Linked DNA regions of Arabidopsis thaliana. The protein of the gene in region 2 interacts with the protein of the main gene of each other region in a pairwise test. Each region holds a gene or a part of one and is shown on either strand. Other genes may lie near its edges.

The links. Proteins that work in one complex are often made in the same cells at the same time.
Region 1: the proteins of JAZ12 (region 2) and KEG interact in a two-hybrid assay, tested with the Arabidopsis thaliana proteins (one study listed by BioGRID).

Annotation. Positions count from the first base shown.
Region 1 is NC_003076.8:4,340,892-4,348,579, forward strand, and holds the start of KEG (protein kinases;ubiquitin-protein ligase), read left to right. Parts: upstream 1-4,310; 5' UTR 4,311-4,726; coding exon 4,727-5,469; intron 5,470-6,295; coding exon 6,296-6,649; intron 6,650-6,729; coding exon 6,730-6,960; intron 6,961-7,141; coding exon 7,142-7,267; intron 7,268-7,365; coding exon 7,366-7,688. Other genes in the region: EMB3136 (Ribosomal protein L10 family protein), read left to right, coding at 403-1,065; AT5G13520 (peptidase M1 family protein), read right to left, coding at 1,226-1,519, 1,916-2,242, 2,327-2,560, 2,685-3,680. UniProt on the Arabidopsis thaliana protein: Mediates E2-dependent protein ubiquitination. Acts as a negative regulator of abscisic acid signaling. Required for ABI5 degradation, by mediating its ubiquitination.
Region 2 is NC_003076.8:7,087,203-7,094,890, reverse strand, and holds JAZ12 (jasmonate-zim-domain protein 12), read right to left. Parts: upstream 4,188-7,688; 5' UTR 4,009-4,187; coding exon 3,884-4,008; intron 3,494-3,883; coding exon 3,391-3,493; intron 3,317-3,390; coding exon 3,136-3,316; intron 3,045-3,135; coding exon 2,987-3,044; intron 2,977-2,986; exon of another isoform or gene 2,787-2,976; coding exon 2,690-2,786; 3' UTR 2,352-2,689; downstream 1-2,351. Other genes in the region: AIP2 (RING/U-box superfamily protein), read left to right, coding at 581-748, 1,021-1,225, 1,314-1,510, 1,785-1,997, 2,079-2,228; AT5G20890 (TCP-1/cpn60 chaperonin family protein), read left to right, coding at 4,985-4,990, 5,075-5,131, 5,228-5,293, 5,383-5,494, 5,596-5,724, 5,823-5,894, 6,066-6,181, 6,407-6,483 and 2 more. UniProt on the Arabidopsis thaliana protein: Repressor of jasmonate responses.

The DNA of each region.
Region 1 (7,688 bases), 2.7 Mb from region 2:
ATTTTTTTTTCCTTCTCCCTTTACTTCCCTTCTTGTCTGTTTTTTCTTGTAATGGTTAAATTATGAACTTGAGTAGTAAATTACAAAATTATTTGTTTGACACGAGACGAGACATCTTCCATAATTCCGAGAAAGAAAATAGAATTATTTTGGGTCTAGTTATTTGATTAGTTTACCAATGGATTGCGTTCAGAATTCAGAAGCAGAGACTAAAAGACACAATGCGTTAAATTAGACGGAGTTACTAATTCCGTCTATTAACCCTTTTTTTATCCATAAATTTTATTTTCCATTTAAGAAAAATAAAAAAATAAAATTGCTTAGTGGAGGATTGTGTTGTTGTTCATCTATCTTCTTCCTCCACACAGCTAGAAACAGTCTCCTCATCTTCTGAGCAAAAAAATGGAAGTGGCTCTTCTCTCCTTCTCTTCTTCCTTGTCTCCTCTCTGTCACCAGCGAATCTCAACTCTCACACCCAAAACCTCGAATTCCCCAAATTACCCTCGCCTCCCGGTCATCAGATCCGCGGTGTCTCGTAACAAGAAGGAAGAGACTGTCGAAGCCGTCAAGTCTCACTTGGAGAACTGCCATCTCCTCGCCGCCATCAACTACAAAGGCCTCACCGTCAAGCAGTTTCAAGACCTCCGGAGAACTCTCCCCGACACTACAAAGCTCATCGTCGCCAAGAACACTTTGGTCTTCAAAGCCATTGAAGGCACCAAATGGGAAGCTCTCAAGCCTTGTATGAAAGGCATGAACGCTTGGCTTTTCGTCCAGACCGATGAAATCCCTTCTGCTATCAAACCCTACCGGAGCTTCCAGAAGGAACGCAAGCTTGAAAACAATGACTTTGCCGGCGCTGTCTTCGAAGGTAAGTTCTACGCTCCTGACAATTTCAAAGTCCTCGAGACCATGCCCACTCGTGCTGAGGTCTACGCTAAGATGCTCGGTGCTCTGCAATCTCCGGCTATTAATCTCGTCACTACTTTACAAGCACCAGCAAGAGAGGTTATAATGGTGCTTATGGCTTACATTAAGAAGTTGGAAGATGAGAGTAATGCATAGTTAAGCTTGTACTAATCTTTTGGAGAATGTAATGTACGCAACAAAAGGCAATTCAATTTTTTGTTTATGACTCTCTCAAGCACCAATTGTTATTACAGTGACTGAGTTTTATTGAAATGTTGTTTTTCGGAGTGCTCTCAAGCTATCATAACGGTCTTGTTTAGATGTACTTAGAGAGGATAGATTCAACAACTCCCTGAGCTATGGGGTGATAAGTTTCTCGAGCTTCTGCAAACACCTGTTTTGCCAGCTGCTTCTCTTCTGTTCCACCAGATTGTGCAAGAGCAGTGAAGAGTGGACGCAGGTACTTCATCCTTCCTACCTCTTTTAGTGTTTTCTTCACTTCCCCATGGTACTCTCTGCACTTGGATGTGACTGCAAGTTGCAGAAACGAGACCTTCACTTCATAGTCTTTCGATTCTGCCAGTCTGTACCGCTTGTCCAAGGCCATGACCTGATTCATCAATGAGCAAAGTGGGTGTTAGCCATAGGTTTGAACCTGATCACCAATCCTTCCTTTGTTGACTAGCATTGTCATTAACAAACAAGATAAGATCCTAACTCTTGCAAAGCCAATACACTTTCCACAATCATGAACTCTCCCAAAGCCAAGAGGGTTTTTCCACAATCATTATTCACTAGCCCCACATTAATCCAAGAGTAACTATTGAGCTAACCTAACTGACAGTTAGTTAGGCCTTTTTCTCCTCCTTATGTAAGCTTATTGAGTAGTTCAACCTAAGTCAAGCCATTTCCCATTATCTTAGAGGAAGAAATAAAGATTCACTCAGCAAGTACAGCTCCAAGTACAGCTCCCATTAACTTAGAGGAAGAAAGGAGTAAAGAGTACCTGAGAAGGTTCACATGATTTAGGAAGATTCTCCAAGTACAGCTCCCATTCCTGTCCGTTCCACTCAGCAACATCATCCTCACTTGGCATCTTTCCTTCCTTAAACTCTTTCGCCAGGGATATGATCTTTGTGTAAATGGTTGAGACTGGTTCATATGCATCCTCTGGTATACCAACGCCCTCAGTCCACAGCTGTAGATTGATCTCTTTCTCTATGCCAGGGATGTTTGCTTTCAGGAATTCAAGAAATGTGTTTGTATCGATTGACTTGAACTTGAAAGTAGCAATGTATTTCTTGAGGAATTCGTCAAAAGCAGTTCTTCCAATCTGAAAGTTTTCCAGTAAATAGATGACCATTATTGTAAACATTACATAACAAAACACCTAAGCGAAGAGGGCAATTCAACTAACCTGGCGTTCAATTCGCAACACAAATTGGAATCCTTTTTCATATGGGACCTGAGAATATACATCATCTGGATCAACACCTTCTTGTTTGTTCCACAGTTTAGTGCACTCCAAGTTGTCCTTAAACCGTTCCATTTCATCAGTTAAACCCCTCCAACCAATGCCAATGTTCAAAGTAGCTATATCCGCCCCTTGAACAACCTCCACAATTCTCCTCTCTGCGTAAGTTGTAAATCCCTATTGCCATGAACATGAAATAAACACTTTCCCATCAACAAGGCAAACTCTAAAAACGGACACACAGTTACACATCCTAATTTGTAGCTAAAAGAAGCAAAAGCACAAGACAATTCAAAGCTACCTCATTCAACCAGAAGTGTTCATTGTTGATATTAGTGATCAAATTCCCAGTCCAGCTATGTGCGAGCTCGTGAGCTACAACTTGAGCTCCAGTGGCGTCTCCTTTGATAACAGTAGGCGTCAGGAAAACCATTCTTGGATTCTCCATACCTCCATAAGGAAAACTCGGAGGCAGCACCAGTAAGTCAAATCTCTCCCACTCGTAATCTCCAAACAGCTTCTCCCCTTGCTTGATCATATCCTCCGTTCCTGCAAACTCCAGAGCAGCCGCATCTAGAACTTCAATGGCGGCAGATTCTGTGTATACCCGAGTCCTAGGTCCAACTTCCCGAAACCCTAACTCACCAACGGCAAAAGCAAATAGATAAGGCGGTATAGGCTGTTCCATAGCAAACTCTTCCACAACTCTATCCTCACCACACCACAGTGACGACCCCAGCGACCCAGCCTCGAGATGTTTAGCCTCCTCAGGAACCGCAAGCCTACGACGGACGTGGCGAGCCGACATGACGGCAGAGAGCGAATTCGGTATGTTCATAACGACGTCGTAACGGATCCTCGCGGCAGGAGTGTCCTGGCATGGGAAAATGGATCTGGCGTGAATCGCTTGACACTGCGTGTAGACATAAGGATGCAATTTGGAGAAAGTTTGAAGCGGCGAAAGCCACTGGAGAGCGGAAGCAGAAGGCGAAGTGGAGTAGACAATTAGCAGTGAAGATTGACCGGAGAGGACTACGACAACTTCGGTGCCCCGAATTCGATCCGGTGTGGTGGAGACGGAGTAAGGGATAGGCTCGAGAGTGAGAGGATCGAGGACCATAGCAATGGAAATGCAGCGAGTATCAAGAGAGAGTTCGCCGGAGAAGGCGGAGGAGAGAGTGAGGAGAGCGGAGCCATGGATTATGGAGGTGTTGAAATCGAGGTAGAGGGAGAGAGCGACATGCGTGGTGAGAGGATGAGAGGAATCGGTGAAAGAGTGTGGATCAATGGGTGCCATTGCTGAGTGAGAGAAGCTTGCTTAGGGTTTTGAGGAAAGGGGCAGTTAGAGAGGTGGAGAAGAGAGTATAAAGCGGGAGAAAAAGAAAAAATGAAGAATTGTTGTTCGATGGTACCATTTTATGATGATAAATAATGTATTTTTGGAATAATTTGGTTAATGGAGAATCATTTAGTGCATAAAGTTGAAACCGTTAGATATTAAACGGCGACTAAATACAATGTTAAACCCAAGTTGGATGAACCAAAAGCACACCAAGCCACCAACAATCCTGAGATTTTTAACAACCATCTTTTTGGGCTTGAGCCTCTATTGAGCTTCAAGTTTTAGGTCCATGAGTTATACACTCACACGAGTAATCTACTTAGCAACAAACAACGAGTTTACATTTTGGTATTGGTGTCAGATTTATCGTCTCATTATTTGGTGAACTCTATTACAAGATCAAACAATCTATTTGTTTTTGCATTTGGCTCAAAAGCTACTTGGTAAAAACTTCGCCAAAAAAAAAAACTCTCAGTAAAAATTACAATTATTTTTTCCTGATGGTTTAAGTTGTTGATGACAACAAATATAAAATCTGATGGTTGACGATTACTACTATTAGGAGAGTCAATAAACGGGTTCGAGCACAAGTGCTGACGGCACCCACCCGTCAAAACCGACGAAACCAGAGAGCCCTCGAGACTCAACCCCAAATAAAATTGGAAAAAAATGAAAATAAAAATAAAAATGATGATATAAAACCCTGAAGAAGAACCTTTTTCACATTTTTCTTACAATTTTTATTCTTGCTTGCTCGTGTCTGATTTTTCCCAGCCAATTTTGATCTACCTTTCAAAAATTCCACCTTTTTCTTTCTTCTCCATGGATCTGTTCTTCTCTCCTTGATCTGGATCGACTTTACTGAGTTTCCTTCCCCCCCCCCCCCCCCCAGATATGTTCTGAGGAACTCTCTCTACTGAATTGATTGGTCTTTCACTCCCTTCTTACTCTTTGATCTCGCGACCTAAATTAATTTAGGGCTTTCTCTTTTCGGAGCTCTCATGGTTGGGAGAGTCAAGGTCCCTTGTTGTTCCGTGTGCCACACGCGGTATAATGAAGATGAGAGAGTTCCTTTATTGCTTCAATGCGGCCATGGCTTCTGCAAAGATTGTCTTTCCAAGATGTTCTCTACTTCTTCCGACACAACCCTCACTTGTCCCCGGTGTCGCCACGTGTCTGTTGTTGGGAACTCTGTTCAGGGTCTCAGGAAGAACTACGCTATGCTTGCTCTCATTCACGCCGCATCCGGCGGCGCTAACTTCGATTGCGATTACACGGATGATGAGGATGACGACGATGAAGAAGATGGTAGTGATGAAGATGGAGCTCGTGCCGCTCGTGGATTTCATGCCTCAAGCTCGATTAATAGCTTGTGTGGTCCAGTGATCGAGGTCGGAGCTCACCCGGAGATGAAGCTGGTGAGGCAGATTGGGGAAGAGAGTAGTAGTGGTGGTTTTGGAGGTGTGGAGATGTGGGATGCAACTGTTGCAGGCGGTGGTGGACGGTGTAAGCACCGTGTGGCGGTGAAAAAGATGACTTTGACGGAGGACATGGATGTTGAGTGGATGCAGGGACAGCTTGAGAGCTTGCGGAGAGCATCCATGTGGTGTAGGAATGTTTGTACTTTCCATGGGGTTGTGAAGATGGATGGATCTCTTTGTCTTTTGATGGACAGGTGCTTTGGGTCTGTTCAGTCTGAGATGCAACGCAATGAAGGCAGACTTACTTTGGAGCAGATTCTAAGGTTCCTCTTTTGCTTCTCTTATTCTTTTTTTTTGCCTAGTATCTGGCTTTTACTGTGATCGTTTCTGTGCTTAAAGTCTCAAACTTTGATAGCCTGTTCCCTAATTAGAAATTACTGGACTAGACCCGACTTGGTTTTTTGTGATTGCTATTAGAAATATATATTGTAAGTGCACAGTTTTTCAGATTCTAGTGAAACAAGCAACTAAAACCTGGTGTCATTTGCCAAAAGGGCAACTTGTAAGATAACTTTAGTTTAGATGTTCTTAAAAAGCTAGGCACGAATTATAGTAGTTGTCATCTCTCTTTGTCATTACCAGCTGCAGCTACTTTTCATCTGTCAATGCCTCAATAGACAAACATTTTTTGGACTAGTCCTTTCCTTTTTAGTAGTGGATCCTTGAACCTACGTTTGCAAGATATCTTTGAGAAAGCCCTTTACATTAGTATGCTTCCTTCTAAAGTATATGACCAGAAATCATTTTTCAACGAACTGACATATCAAATCATGCAAAAAATTGTACGAATTGTTATACATTAATTTATCAAAGGACGCATCATCTAAAGATGATCCTTATTTTGTTGTCCTGGTTCTAATATTACCTTCAATTCACTTGTTTGTATTTCCTCCTATTTTCTGTTTTTAACTGAATTGCGTCATTTGGGACTATTAAATGTAAGCACTAATGCGTAAATGAGTGTTTTGTATTCTCCTTTCATATCGTGCTCATGTTGTTTTAAGTTTACAACTTAGAATATTCCTTCAGTGACCAACATATGTATTATTCCATTGCTCTTGTTGTGATATTAAATTTTACCAACTGTAGATATGGGGCTGATGTTGCTCGAGGGGTTGCAGAACTCCATGCAGCAGGTGTTATCTGTATGAATATAAAACCTTCCAATCTTCTTTTGGATGCAAGCGGCAATGCTGTGGTTTCTGATTATGGGCTCGCTCCCATCCTAAAGAAGCCAACATGCCAGAAAACTCGACCAGAGTTTGATTCCTCAAAAGTCACTCTATACACGGACTGTGTAACACTCAGTCCACACTACACTGCCCCAGAGGCTTGGGGACCGGTGAAAAAACTTTTTTGGGAGGATGCAAGTGGTGTATCTCCAGAATCAGATGCATGGAGTTTTGGCTGTACGTTAGTAGAGATGTGCACTGGATCCACTCCGTATGTGAAGCCTCTTCCTAGTTGATATTTCAGTTGTGTTTTGTGTCTGCCATTGTACTAACTGTCACTTAATTTTACAGGTGGGATGGTCTTAGTAGAGAAGAAATTTTTCAAGCTGTTGTGAAAGCCCGAAAAGTACCACCACAGTATGAACGCATAGTGGGTGTGGGAATTCCTCGGGAATTATGGAAAATGATTGGTGAATGTCTTCAGTTTAAACCGTCGAAAAGACCAACCTTTAATGCAATGCTTGCTACATTTCTTCGTCATCTACAAGAGATACCACGTAGCCCTTCAGCAAGCCCTGATAAGTAAGAGTTTTAAGTCCCTAAGATTACTTAGTTTTATGGTTTCCCTGTTTTCGTTGCTTGTCAGTAAAGAAGACCCTTTCACTTGTGTTAAGATTAATATTAGCACCAACACCTAAGATTATTTTTGTCATCATGCCTATATTCCTTCGCCTAACAATAATATAAACCATGTATGATGTAGTGGGATTGCCAAAATATGTGAAGTAAACATTGTACAAGCACCTCGCGCGACTAACATAGGGGTCTTTCAGGATAACCCTAACAACCTACATCGGGTTGTTTTGGAGGGAGACTTTGAGGGTGTAAGGTTAGTATCTGTTAGGAATTCTAGTTAATCCTTTTGTTCGCACTAGCTATAAACAACCTGTTCTCAACTACATTGGTTTGATTTTTGTTTTGGAGTAGAAATATACTTGCAAAGGCTGCAGCTGGAGGCGGTGGAAGCTCTGTGCGATCTCTATTAGAGGCGCAAAACGCTGATGGTCAATCGGCTCTTCACTTAGCTTGCAGACGTGGCAGTGCTGAACTTGTGGAGGCTATACTGGAGTATGGGGAGGCTAATGTAGATATCGTGGACAAAGATGGGGATCCTCCTCTTGTCTTTGCTTTAGCAGCTGGATCTCCACAATGTGTTCACGTTCTCATTAAAAAGGGGGCTAATGTGAGGTCCAGACTGCGGGAAGGATCTGGCCCATCTGTAGCTCACGTGTGTTCGTACCATGGCCAAC
Region 2 (7,688 bases):
TGTTTTGGAATATGATTATGACTTGACTTTTAAAATGGGATAGGATCAAAACCTTTTACTCTGTCAGGTTCATGTGGTCACCTTGAAGGTTGATTTAGTAAATCCATGGACTTCTTTTTTGTGTTAAGATTATTCTTAGTTCAAAATTAATAGACTAATGATATTAACGTCCACAGGCATTGCGTTCAACATCTCAAATTAAAGCGTGGAAGGCTCAGAAAGTCCAATATACACTATGTTTATCTACAGTTACAATCATACTACAAAAAACAAATAATGTATACGGTTTGGTCTAATATAGCCGCATACGATTTAGTATTTACCAACAAAAAATTGGTCTCAAACCAAACCGAACAATTGGTAATTAACAATTGTTCTTTTGGTCTTGAACCGAACCAAACCGAACTGAACTATATTAACCGACCGACTTCGTCCTTTCCTCCTGATCAAGAAAACTCGTCTCCTACAAAAATCCCAGAAGACAAGAGATTGGTTCTTCTTTTGCATCATTCTTACAAAATCCCCAAAATCATTCGAAACCCCTGAGTATTCTCCTTAACTCTAAGAAATAAATTTCTGAATGGATGCATCGTCTTCACCGTCTCCTTCCGAGGAAAGCTTGAAGCTTGAGCTTGATGATCTTCAGAAACAGCTGAACAAAAAGCTGAGATTCGAAGCATCCGTTTGTTCTATTCATAATCTTCTCCGTGATCACTACTCTTCTTCCTCTCCTTCTCTCCGCAAACAGGTTGGTTTTTATTCTTAGATTTTCGGATCAATAGATTCAAAATTATTCGGAATTGTTAGGGTTTATGCCTGCCTTGACGTTTACTCATTGCTTATGTCTGATGATGGGTTTAACTTTTGAGGATTGAATCAGGAATCAAATATCTTTCTTTTATTGTTTTTCTATTTCAATTGTGGAGAAAGTTCATGTTCATGTCAAAAATTTCATTTAATCCGATCTGTTTTTGTTTAGTTACCCTCTGTGACATAGTATTGATTTGATTGCCATTGCAGTTCTATATAGTTGTATCTCGTGTCGCTACGGTTCTTAAGACAAGATATACAGCTACTGGATTTTGGGTTGCTGGACTGAGTCTTTTCGAAGAGGCTGAGCGACTTGTCTCTGATGCTTCTGAGAAGAAACATTTGAAATCTTGCGTTGCTCAAGCTAAGGAGCAGTTAAGCGAAGTAGATAATCAGCCAACAGAGAGCTCACAAGGTTTGTGAAACATTTAGTTTGGCTTTTGATGGTTTTAAGTGAAATTTATCTGGAGATGATTTTTATTTCTCTTGTGAATTTTTTGCAGGTTATCTTTTTGAGGGACATCTTACGGTTGATCGTGAGCCGCCACAGCCTCAGTGGCTAGTACAGCAGAATCTCATGTCTGCTTTCGCTTCTATCGTTGGTGGTGAATCCTCTAATGGTCCTACTGAAAACACTATTGGGGAAACTGCTAACTTGATGCAAGAACTTATCAATGGTCTTGACATGATCATTCCAGATGTAATGCCTTCTCTTTTCTTCCTTACTAGTTTTAGATTATGTACTATCACACATAGCTGATATCACAAGTTTCTTCACCTAAAGATAGAGATGAAAGCAATTCTTAATCATCCGCATTCTACTCATATGTTGTTTTTTGCATATTGAGTTTCTCCACTTGGTTGTCTCACTCATCTGTATCAAGAGTGTTTAACCTCAACCTCTAATATTGTATTGGTAGCGTCTTTTTCTTAGCTTCATGATTGAAAAGTGATATATGATGTGTTCTATGCAGATACTAGATGATGGTGGACCACCAAGAGCTCCACCGGCAAGTAAAGAAGTTGTAGAGAAACTCCCAGTCATTATTTTCACCGAGGAATTGCTTAAAAAGTTTGGAGCAGAGGCAGAATGTTGCATCTGCAAGGAGAATCTAGTTATTGGCGACAAGATGCAGGAATTGCCATGCAAGCACACATTTCACCCTCCTTGCCTAAAGCCTTGGCTGGTATAAAAAAAAAAATCCCATTCTTTCAAGCTTACTAGTAAGTAAGAACATAAAGCTTATGCTCATATTGTTTTATGGCAGGACGAGCATAACTCTTGCCCTATATGCCGCCATGAATTACCAACAGACGATCAGAAATACGAAAACTGGAAAGAGAGAGAGAAAGAGGCCGAAGAAGAGAGGAAGGGCGCAGAGAATGCTGTCCGCGGAGGTGAATATATGTACGTTTAAATTTCAATCAGTTATGGCACACTCCCATTGTCTTTCCTTGAAACATCTCCGAATTGTTGTTCATCATTCACAATTATAAATCCCATTTTACATATAGATTCAATGTCTTTTGTATGAAAGCTTATAATAACAACACAGACTTCTTTACTTTACACACAATTGTATCTTGAAGAGATGACAAGTTCAATAACATAACATCAAAGAGTCATTAGTTAGATAGACTCTAGGACAGTGTTACTAACTACAATAGTTTCTTCAGTAGAATTGTAAAATGGCAAACATATCTGACCACTCCCAGACATGGAAACAATCTTCGGTTTGTCTAGCAAACCTATACAGACACTATCATACAACACATTACACACAGCAGCGTACATGATAGATTATCATATTAATTACTATATTGACAAAACGTTTTACTTAGTTTGCTTATAAGCTTAATGTGGAGGTTTGATCTTCTGCTAAGCAGTTGGAAATTCCTCCTTGATAGAGACATTGCCTGTTGGGACATCTGTCTTTTTGAAGTCTGAAGTAGGGTAAGGGTTTTTGTTGACCAATCTGCAGATAAAAAAAAGTGAATGTTATTGTTAGATGCAATATCAAGGTTAAACATTATGATCAATCTGTCTTTACAAGTCTCTCACAGGTACATTAACAAGCTCTGTATTAGTAATCAATCAAAAACTGAATAAAATAGATCAGATTTGAATTTCCATTGAAATGGAGAAGGATGAAGTGTAATTTTAAAGGCTGCATACCTGTCCCGTCTTTTCTCGAGGAATCGTTGAAGCGAATGCCTCCTTGCAATAGGTAGATCTGTTACGGCAAACATAATTGTAAGAAACTAATGAGAGTATCCATTTTCAAGGTTTGAAGATTACTATAACCAGTTGAATCGAATACTTACCAGCCGTGGATCTGCAAAACGAGATTGGCTGAATAGGAAATGGCTGTGCAGCTGGTGATGCCACATTAGATGTGCTTGAGAAAGAAGGAGCTCTGTTCAGTGCTGGCGATGAGACAGGACTGATGCTTGTAGAATTCTTTGTCTCCATTGCTTTAGCAGCAATACGAAGGATTTCTTGAACCTATAGGCATAGATCACAGTGAGAACAGAAATTCTGAAGTTTTTCTGACAACAACAAAGCTCTAATGGACCAACCTTTTCTGATGGAAGTCCATCAAACACAGTAACACTTCCACCAAAGAAAATAGTAAGTTGATTTGGAGGAACCGTTGGCTCAGCGGTTTGAATCTCCGTGGACCTTCAATAGCAGAAGATCTATTAAACTTGTGACCGACACTATAAAGATGGACTTATTGATGCAACATTAAGAAAACTCTCCACATATGAATCCAGTCTCTCCAATTTCACATGTTAACGGTGAAGTTCTATTAATCAAATTCACATGAAAACTTATGTATGCATTAAAGGACTTTGAAAAACACAAGTTTGTTAAGAATCCAATTGTTCCAGCCAAAAAACAAATTGGTTCCATTGAGAAATATGACTTTCCCTAAATAGAAACTAAAGTAACCAGATCGAAATGCTGATCTTCCTTATCAGAAACAAGATACAATTTTAAGTACTAAACTCAAAGCAAAGAGAGAAACAGATAAAAACATGTGAAATCAACAGTAAACACAGCTCATACCTAACTTCGTTAATCGATTTCTCAACAGATCCGGTACCGCCGATCTCAGCCGCGCCGCCGTCACCGTCGGCAACACCACATCCACCTTCAACGGAAGCGCGTGGCTCATCTTTCACCTTAGTCATGGCTTGTCTCTCAAAATTTGTAGATCTGTCTTTTTCCGATGAGAATTTTGATACTTCTCTCCCTTAGAGTACTTTTGTTTCGCTTCGTCTCTACGTCGTTCAGACCGGGAACCTCCGAGATTTATCCTTCTCAGAAGCTCCTGTAATTTGACACCTGGCGATAGATATTGATTTTTATTGTTTGACTTTTGGTGCTACGACAGTAAAAGACAACAAGAGGGTAATTAGAAACGTGCTCGAATATGATACGGTGTCGTTGGCCTTCTATGTGGGACATGCTTTCTCATTTCGGTTATCCGGAACTCCAAACGTGTATAATTTATAAGTGGCTGAGACGTTAAACTAATTGAGTTTGCTGGACCTTGATTCATTGGGCTCTTAAAGTACTGTTGGGCTTAGTCGTCTTAAAATGACTTCTAAAATGGACCTTGACTGCTTACATTTATAATGTTTCTCTTTCTATTTTATAAGCCTCTTTACATTTATAGTTTTTTTTAGTAACAATATTCGCATACAAATCACGAATTAATTTATTTCTGTTTTTGTATTCGACCGCTAAATCATCACCAAATTCAAATTTGTATATGGAACATTTTTTTTTTTCCTCTATATAATCAAACAAAATGCAAAATTGTCGAAACTATAAAATTTACTTCTTAATGTAACTTATAACTTTTTGGTTAAGGGTTAATCTAAACTTTTTAGTTTTTACTGAAGGGCGCATAAGAAATCTGGGAAATACGAGGGTAGTTTGGTCTTTACGAGTTTCATTTAGGGTTCCGAAAGATCTGGGTTTTGGCTCTCTCCTCTCATTTTCTACTCTTCTTCAAAAGCACACTCAATATTTCGAGATCCTCTCGGCTTGTTCGTTCTTCGTGAACGATCCCATCTATTGTTTCTCGCTAGTCTCAGATTCGACTAACTTGGATATCTCCGATACTGAAGAAGCCTCCTTCTTCTTTTTCCGCTCTTCCCGATGCCGGTAATGTTCCTCCGTCGTCTCTTTCAATCCTTTTGCTTTTCCCCAGTGCTCTCCGTTAACTGAACTTAGCTATTTCGTATTTAGATCGATAAGATCTTCAAAGATGATGCTAGTGAAGAGAAGGGAGAACGTGCGAGGATGGTGAGTCTTTTGAATCGATTAGGATTTAGGGTTTTTCAGATTCACTCTTCTACTGTTTAAATCTGATTTTCTTTTCTTTTGTTGTTGCTCTTTTAGGCATCATTTGTTGGTGCAATGGCTATCAGTGATCTGGTTAAGTCTACTTTAGGGCCAAAGGGCATGGTAATTTCCGATCTCTGAATATTTAGAAAGCTACAAACTTTCAATTTGGTTCTATTGATTATTGTTGAATCCTTTTTATTATTGTTTAGGATAAAATCTTGCAATCTACTGGTAGAGGTCATGCGGTCACTGTTACTAACGATGGTGCTACTATTCTCAAGTCACTTCACATAGACAACCCTGCAGCTAAAGTTCTTGTTGGTATGTAATTTCCCTGCGACATTCTGGCATGAAGTTTTCACATTCGTTTTTTCTTAGTTGGGTTTTCTCTCACAGTTCGTTGTATCTGGTTTGTTCTTCAGACATCTCGAAAGTTCAAGATGATGAGGTTGGTGATGGAACTACCTCTGTTGTTGTCTTGGCCGGCGAGCTTCTGAGGGAAGCAGAAAAGCTTGTGGCTTCTAAGATTCACCCTATGACCATCATAGCAGGTACACTTTTGGAGCTTTAAGTGTTAAGATGTCAACTTTGTATCAGCTTCTCTCACTATGGCAATGATTTCTAATTTTTTCGTTTTCTGGTTTCTTAGGTTACAGAATGGCTTCGGAATGTGCTCGTAATGCTTTACTGAAAAGAGTCATTGATAACAAGGACAATGCAGGTAATCATTATAGAGATGGTTAAACCTTGTTATGCTGACATATTTAAGTATAGCATTTTCTTGTTTGTGTGATTACTTCGACTGTTGGGTTCAAGCGGTGATTTCCTTTCAGTTGAATACAGAACGGAAATCACACTGTTATTTTACAGCATTGTATTTTTGTCAATGCAGAGAAGTTTAGGTCAGACTTGTTGAAGATTGCGATGACTACTTTATGTTCCAAAATTCTCTCACAGGACAAGGAACATTTTGCAGAAATGGCCGTGGATGCTGTTTTCAGGCTAAAGGTTCCATTTCTTCCTCCTTTTGAAACTGATTCAGCAATGTCATGTGTTCCTTCCTTCTTTTTCTCTTGATTTATGTGTTATCTCATGAAAGAAGATCTTCCTTTGACGAAATGTCATGAAATTAGGCTATTATCATTTCACCATTAGTCTTTCCCATAGTTGCATCGTTTCGTTTTGGATTGTTATATGATTTTTTTCTGACATTCTGCTTTTATCGTTCAACAGGGAAGCACAAACTTGGAAGCTATTCAGATCATCAAAAAACCTGGAGGGTCTCTGAAGGATTCGTTTTTGGATGAAGGGTAAGACAACACTTTGTGCCTTTGGCGTCAGTTCAAATTCAGTTTTCTGAGCTATTGATCTTTCTTTAGTATTCATCTGTTCATGGTAACTCTGTCGTGTTTCTTTTCTTCTTCATAGCTTACGCACCTTAATTTCATTTATAGTGTTATTTTGGAATGTTGATAGTCATCATGTCATCTTGTTGTGTTGTGTTTCTTCTTCTATCGAGTAATATGGTCTCATGTCACCTCAACTTAAAATCTATGCCTGTAGGTTTATTCTTGACAAGAAAATAGGAATTGGGCAGCCTAAGCGCATAGAGAATGCAAATATCTTAGTAGCTAATACTGCTATGGATACCGATAAAGTGAAGATTTACGGTGCACGTGTCCGTGTGGATTCCATGACCAAGGTTGCTGAGATTGAAGGGGCTGAGAAGGAAAAAATGAAAGACAAGGTGAAGAAGATCATAGGCCACGGAATCAACTGCTTTGTTAACAGGCAGTTGATCTACAATTTCCCTGAGGAACTCTTTGCTGATGCTGGTATACTTGCTATTGAGCATGCTGACTTTGAGGGAATAGAGCGTCTTGGTTTGGTTACTGGTGGTGAAATTGCTTCGACCTTTGACAACCCAGAGTCTGTTAAGCTTGGGCATTGCAAGCTTATAGAAGAAATCATGATTGGTGAAGACAAGTTGATTCATTTCTCTGGTTGTGAAATGGGCCAGGCTTGTTCAATTGTCCTAAGAGGGGCCAGGTATCCATTTTCACTCCCATTACTTGAAAGACTTCGTCTAAACTTTATTCTGTTTCTAATTCACTAATCAATTTTTGTATGGGTTCTTTTTTCTTGCAGTCACCATGTCCTAGATGAGGCTGAAAGATCACTCCATGATGCCTTATGTGTACTCTCTCAAACAGTGAATGATACTAGAGTTTTGCTTGGAGGTGGATGGCCAGAGATGGTGATGGCAAAGGAAGTAGATGAGCTTGCAAGGAAAACTGCTGGCAAAAAATCTCATGCCATTGAAGCTTTCTCACGTGCTCTAGTTGCTATACCGACAACAATCGCTGACAACGCTGGTTTAGACAGTGCCGAATTGGTTGCTCAGCTTCGTGCAGAGCACCACACTGAAGGGTGTAACGCTGGGATCGACGTCATCACTGGAGCTGTAAGTAAACTTTATAAACATTAGGATTCGCCATTGAATGTGCAAGGCTAG